Linked DNA regions of Caenorhabditis elegans. The protein of the gene in region 1 interacts with the protein of each later gene in a pairwise test. Each region holds a gene or a part of one and is shown in the gene's direction. Other genes may lie near its edges.

Region 1 (3,757 bases):
GTCGTAGGGCCTCTCCTGCTTTACCTGTGATGTGAGTGCGGAGGCCTGGTCTGCCAGTCCGCCGCGACGGGTATGCGACAGACCAAAGACCTATGAGATGGTTTTACATAGTCCAGTAGGAAAAACTTTGTCAACTACTAGTTTTTAGTAAAACTGGAACCTTGAGAGTAGCTGGTTGGAAACAAGGCGACGACTACCAGCATGAAGGGTGGTAGGAAGGATATTGGGGTTGTCATGAACTGGAAATTTTGAAGATTTACCTTCAATTTCCATTATCCTGTACCTGCATAATCAAACTTCTCAGCGCAACCTTATGCCTGCTCAGTGTCCCCTTCGATAGGCGACTTTTAACATCTGATAGAACTTTAAACATTCGAAGTACTAGAAGAGATATCACAATGATCGTCTTTAAGGTTCCAGCAGCAGTGAGCACTAGGAATATAATAAAAATATATGCACTGTTGAAGTATGTGTAATAAAATTCATTAAGCTGCTGATACTTCGGGACCAGCGACGGATGGTCTTGACTAATCAACTTCCATTGATCTTCTTTACTAGTCTCGCTGAAGTACCATGCGAGTGTGATAGCCAGTGAGTAGGACATGCATAAATGGTAGATTATAATATAGGTTAGGCTACTTGACGGGTTTGATAAAGTTTTCAGCTGCATGATTGCCTTGTACTTGCGGAGGAAGCATATTGTGAGAACCTCGATTTGACCGCTAAGGAGTAATGTGAATAGGGTCTGAAAGTTTGGCTTTGTTGTTTGACTGTTAATTGCTCAAAATGCTTACAAATAGCGTATGCGTGCTCCAGCCAAACCAACGTGACATAAACCCATGCCCATATCCAGAGAACAGTGGAAATAGTGGAATAGGCTGGAATAGGAAGGCAATGTTCACGTCAGATGCCGTACAAGATACCTGGAATTTTTCAAAGATTTTTTTGAACATACAAATATTTTGTTTAAGTTACCTGAAAAGCCAGCAAATAAAATCGAAAGTTGTCTAGCTTGCCGCTTTGAAACAACAGAAGGTATATGACTAATAAGTTGAGTAGTAATGCAATTGTACCCGACACGTAATAGTGATTAATCAAATGCTCGGGGACCTCGAAGTCAATATTCAAGCTTTCTGACATGTTACTAGAAGGAGTGTGCTCAAAATTGGCAGGAAAAATGAGGAGATTGATTGTTTGGGGGCTCAGCATAAGACATATGTTAAAAAGTCACCTGTCAATATTAATATTAACATCACATTTCTAGATATGATCGAACAATGTTAAGAACAAAGAAACATGAACCACATAATTTCTTGACCAATCACCGCTCGGCCACGCCCACGTTTGCACCAATCAGCGACTCTCAGCACTTTCTGATCTTTGAGTATAATCTATAAGCGGTGGAGATCAAGATTTTATGTTAAAATCTTCAGGAATTTCATTTTTTCGTATCAAACTCACATTGCCTGTCTTGTTCCATGGTTCTGTCATAGGACCCCAAAAGAAGCAACTTGGATTTGAGCCGTTGTAACTCTAAAACGGTAAAAGCTGGTAAAAGTAAAATGTTAAAAGTTGTCAACTAATAAAATATTCATCACATTTTAATAAACATTTCCTGTAACTCTAAAATGGGAAGAGTTATCAAAAAGTTGTCAACTAACAAATTATTCATCACATATTTTTAAGCATCTTGTTAGTTGACAACTTTTTGCTAGCACGTTTTGTTTCAGGGATAAAGGAGATCAAAGGTTTTTTCTGAAATCTGCAATTTTATATTATTATATCTATTATTTTATTATTATATCTATATATTTATAATCTTATATCTAGATTAAAACTGATTTCCGATCACTATCCTGATTTTTTGATAACTATGCGACAATGCTACGAAAATCTCTCCTCTAATCAGTCCGACGTCACAACGAAACTAGAGACATAGAGGAATCAAAGATATCCTGTCCTGCCTGCTTTTCGATTTTTTATATCATTAAATCCTTGAGAAATTTTTCATCTTGATCTCCTCTTCCGTGATTTGATCTGATTCATTCCATTAAACATGTCGTCTTCCTTAGTCTGTTGGCTAAGCTTTTCGGTTCTATTGTTAATTGCTAAAAATTCAGAATCTTGTTTCGCTACTCAGACTCCACAGCAGCCAATTGTGACAAGTACGGTGGCTCCGGCAGGTAAGTCGATTTTCTTAAGTTTAGGCCTAGGCTTAGGCTTAGGCTTAGGCTTTGGTTCAGGCTTAGGCTTAGGATTAGGCTTGGGCTTAGGGTTAGGCGTAGGCTATGGTTTAGTCTTAGGCTTAGGCTTAAGCTTGGCGTCAGTGGCGAGCGTTAGCTCTGACGCTATTTAGGCTTGGGTTTATAGCGTTTTTTTGATTTTTCAAAGGGTTTTAGACTTAGGTTTAGGTTGAGGCTTAGGCTTAGGATTGGGCTTAGGCTAAGGCTTTGACATAGGTTTAGACTTAGTTAGGCTTAGGGTTAGGCTTGGGCTTTGACTTAGATTTAGGCTACGGCTTAGGCTTAATTTTGGACCATTTTTCAACTTTCAGGGGATTTCCAGTGAAAAAAATTTGTGAAAATGTATTAAAATATTCCAAAAAAATCCGAAAAATATCCGAGAAGCCAAAAAAAACTTTCAGAACCAGCATGCTCTCCGGACACACTTGTTCTTGGACAAGGAGACAATCAAAACCCCGAAGTCGCCATCGATGTTACACATTCAGCAGTTACAACTACAGCCGGTACCTCCTCAATGACAATTACTTGCTCTGGAGCCACTGACTTCAATGTGCAAATGGAGCTTAATGGAGCCTTCACACCAGCCGAGAACGACCAGGATCCACTACCCCAGACAGTTACTATCAATGCTCAGTGTAATACCGCCGATATGAAATGGAACTACGTGACTGTGATCAATGGTGAAACGTTCACCGAACCTCTCGACAGTGTGACCTGCCTACAAGTTCAGAATTTGCCGGGAGAGGGGCCGGATCCGGAGCCGGTGGCATGTGATCCGGCGTTGATTACTTATGGAGTTGGAGACGATCAAACCCCTGAGGTCGCCATCGATGTTACACATTCAGCAGTTACAACTACAGCCGGCGTCTCCTCAATGACAATCACTTGCTCTGGAGCCGACGACTTCAACGTGCAAATGGATCTGAATGGAGCCTTCACCCCAGTGGAAAACAATCTGGACCCACCTCCCCAGACGGTTACTATAAATGCTCAGTGCAACACTGCAGATATGATATGGAACTACGTGACAATGGTGAATGGACAGCCATCCACACAGGCGCTTGACAGTGTGACCTGCCAACAAGTTCAGAATTTGCCGGGAGAGGGACCGGATCCGGAGCCGGTGCCATGTGATCCGGCGTTGATAACTTATGGAGTTGGAGACGATCAAACCCCTGAGGTCGCCATCGATGTTACACATTCAGCAGTTACAACTACAGCCGGCGTCTCCTCAATGACAATCACTTGCTCTGGAGCCGACGACTTCAACGTGCAAATGGATCTGAATGGAGCCTTCACCCCAGTGGAAAACAATCTGGACCCACCTCCCCAGACGGTTACTATAAATGCTCAGTGCAACACTGCAGATATGATATGGAACTACGTGACAATGGTGAATGGACAGCCATCCACACAGGCGCTTGACAGTGTGACCTGCCAACAAGTTCAGAATTTGCCGGGAGAGGGACCGGATCCGGAGCCGGTGCCATGTGATCCGGCGTTGATAACTTATG
Region 2 (3,662 bases), on another chromosome or scaffold:
CACCATTACCTTCCAAAATTGTTTGGAATTTTGTCATTCGTGTGTAATCCAATTTTCATTTGCTTGATAGCCACCGAAAAGAAGGCTTCGATCGGGAAGTATCGATATCTTTTGATAGGGTTTGCAATTTTTGATATGGCTTACTCAACTGTAGAGCTAATCGTTCCCGTAGCAATTCATGGTACTGGGGCAGCTTTTGTGATTTACCTAGCTGACGGACCATTTTTTGGGGTGAGTTTGAAAGCTCTACACACCAAATGATTGAACTTCAGACTGGGAAGCTTGGCCAACTAGCTGTCTCAATTCGATGTGGGTGTATTTCTCTTTCATATGGAATCCTTGTCATTCACTTTATCTATCGGTATCTTGTGCTATTTAAGTGAGTTTTATTTTTATTTTTCACGTAAATCCGAAAATTTAAAAATTATAGCACCCGAATAATCGATCGACTTCTCCGGCCGTCCGGGCTATTTGGTCTCTTTGTATTTTTTGTTTTTCACGGAATAGCTTGGAGTTCTGTCTGCGAGATGTGTCTCTATGGAGATCAAGAAGTGTTCGACTACATCTATGACGCTTTTCAAAAAGATTACCATGTGGATTCACATGATTTATCCATGCTAATGGCATTGTTTTTCGTGAGGCTCGAAAAGAGCAAAGAACCAACACTAACCCCTTAAAATTTTAGGATGCAAGTCCCGAGATCAAAAGAAGAAGCTGGATTGGAATTCTGCTGCTGACTGGAATTTCGATATATGCAATTTCTCTATACGTTATTCTTGGATGGAAGATTATGAAAAAGCTGGCGGATAATCCAGGGGTTTCTGCAACGACTCAGAAATTGCATAGACAGTTATTCAAAGCCCTTGCAGTTCAGGTATACATGTTTTTAAAGAGTTCAGAAAAAAATTGTTTAACTAAACATTTTCAGACTTTCATCCCGATCTGCATCAGCTTCTCCCCTTGCATGATGGCCTGGTACGGTCCTGTAATCGGATTGGATCTCGGAATGTGGAACAATTATTTGGGCGTCATTGCACTGTCAGCGTTCCCTGTTCTAGATCCACTTGCTATCATTTTCCTCCTACCCAACTACCGGAACAAGCTTTTTCGCACTGTGAAAATGCCAATCAAATACTTTTATTCTGGAACATCGACTGTCCGACCCAACGTGGATAATTCAGCTCAAGTTTATTGAAAGTTTGAGGAAAAGTGTTGTCCAAGTTGTTATAAAATTTCTTATTTTTTTCCATAAATATTTTTCGCAACGTTCTTTTTTAATCAATGTGAAAGAGTTTTATTTGCATTTCTCGAAATACATGTTTGCTTTATAGATTTTTTCAATAGCCTGCGGACATTTTCAACGTGTCCCTCTTTTCTTACCAAGTTTGCAGACAGCTTACACTTTCTTCGTTTTTTTTTGGTTTTTAAAAACAAATTATTCTCAATTTAGTACTGTAACTTTTTGAACAACTTAGCACTTTTATAACAATGTCGTTAAGTTTGAGTTGGGATGATAGTTCTAGAAAATTATTTTGTCAAGTTTGGAGAATTCTTGTCGATGGGATTATTTTTGATCAATTACAGGAAAAAACCGTATAGAAATTTAAAATCAACACATAAACCTTACTAATTTACAGTTCACAATCGCGTCACACCCCTAACCCGATTATATTTTCGGTTTTTATTGCCGAAAATACAACAACACATGTATGAATTCGTATAGTTGCCCTCTATTATAATATTTTTGCATTTATGTTTTCCCAAATTCTCAAAAGTTTTATTTTTTCAAATTTACCGGAATCATAAAATTTACGTTTTTCTAATTTGGTTTTTCTAATTTATAGACCACTTCGATGACACTCAAGCTCACATACTTTGACATTCGTGGGCTCGCGGAGCCCATTCGGCTCTTGCTCAATGACCAGGAAATCCCATTTGAAGATAACCGTATCAGCCGAGAAGAGTGGGCCGAAATGAAGTCAACCATGGTGATTCATAATTTTTGAAACTATAAAAGTAGAATTTTCCAGATTTTCGCTCAATTGCCGTGTCTTCATATCGGAACTGAAACGATTGTCCAGTCAGCAGCGATTCTTCGTCATCTTGGACGGATTTATGGTGAGCAATCAGAAAATTTACAGTTTTGAAATAAAAAATTCATTCGAATTGATGAAAAAGAAAAAGCCTGTCAAATTGCTTATTAATTGTTTTGATAAATGTTTTGTTTTGAAAAAATCGTTTTTTTTGAGTGAAAATTTTTTTGATTTTCTCAAAATAAAAATTTTCAAAAAAACTTGCAGAATGTATACATCCGAAATCGTATAAAAATTATCTAAAAGTAGTCTTTTGGAGCAATTCTAAACGTCGTCAAATTAGTCAATAAATTGTTTTAAACTTTTGGCTTTATAGTTAGCTCTTCTAGGCTGACTTAATGCGTTTTTGATTACAATTTTTTTTTGATCTCAAAATATCAGTTGGAGAAAATAACGAAAAATATATTAACAATTGTTTTCCCGGCTGTTGAGTTAACATTTTGCAAATCTTATTTAAAATTCAATACAAAAAGAAAAAAAAACAACATCTAAAATTTCTCAGGACTCAATGGCTCCACTGAATCAGAGACCTCATTCATCGATATGTTCTCCGAAGGGCTCCGCGATCTACGCACCAAATATTTCACAATGATCAAGACAGACTACGAAGATGGCAAAGAAGCATACATAACTGAAACTCTTCCCGGGGAGCTACTACGAATTGAGAAGTTGTTCTGCACATTTAACAACGGCGAAAACTTTGTGTCCGGGGACAAGCTGAGCTATGCAGATTATGCTCTATTCGAGCTTCTCGATATTCACCTCATCCTCACACCAACTGCTCTAAATGGCACCCCAGCACTGAAAAGATTTCATGGACGATTTGCAGAGCGGCCCAATATGAGACTGTATTTGAATAAACGGGCCGAACTAAATCCATTCGTCAGTGGAAATGGGAAACAATAAAACTTTCGGATTTTTTTGTGTTAAATTAATTTTGCAATACTAATAAAACTTGTTTCAAATAACTATTGTTTCAAAAAGCAAAACTCAACTGTGAAACCATTTTCAAAAAATGAGCTATCAAAATTTCGAGTACTTAAAAATTAAATTTTTTTAAAGTTTTTTGAATTAACTTATCAAAGTCTATAGGTTTCACGATAACCTACTGCATATAAAACATTGGGTCCTGACACGAAAAACCAATGTAGTAGGAGTAAAACGTTGTTTGAAAATTAATACAGGTGCTGTTTATGAATCAGACCCTGGAGAATACAGATAACACCCACCTCAAGTCTGCTCAATGACGCTATCACACATGGAGGACTTTTTCGACCCTTTTCAGTGTGTTCCTTTGCAAAAACGGAGTTACCATAGCAGACAAATATTCAAGTCACAAAACACATAGTGCCCCAACCCCAAAGGAGTATACTATTTTACGAGAACTCGGCATTTATAAGAAAAACAAGAGGGGAAAACACTTCTACATCTCTTCATCGAGAAGATCCCATTATTTTTCAATACAACTATGATATATATGAACTGGTACCATCAAAATGTTCCCAAAATTTTGGGAGCACTAAGCTTCCTGGTGAACCCAATATTCATATATTTGGTAGTGACCAAAAC

What was found. Proteins that work in one complex are often made in the same cells at the same time.
Region 2: the proteins of B0454.8 (region 1) and gst-23 interact in a two-hybrid assay, tested with the Caenorhabditis elegans proteins (one large-scale study listed by BioGRID).

What each region holds. Positions count from the first base shown.
Region 1 is NC_003280.10:3,041,706-3,045,462, reverse strand, and holds the start of B0454.8 (C6 domain-containing protein), read left to right. Parts: upstream 1-2,004; 5' UTR 2,005-2,056; coding exon 2,057-2,183; intron 2,184-2,644; coding exon 2,645-3,757. Other genes in the region: sri-29 (Serpentine Receptor, class I), read right to left, coding at 161-239, 284-745, 795-923, 976-1,140.
Region 2 is NC_003283.11:3,241,442-3,245,103, forward strand, and holds gst-23 (Glutathione S-transferase), read left to right. Parts: upstream 1-1,842; 5' UTR 1,843-1,853; coding exon 1,854-1,988; intron 1,989-2,030; coding exon 2,031-2,118; intron 2,119-2,595; coding exon 2,596-2,999; 3' UTR 3,000-3,061; downstream 3,062-3,662. Other genes in the region: srj-11 (Serpentine Receptor, class J), read left to right, coding at 1-231, 273-379, 431-635, 686-874, 929-1,195; srj-7 (Serpentine Receptor, class J), read left to right, coding at 3,562-3,662.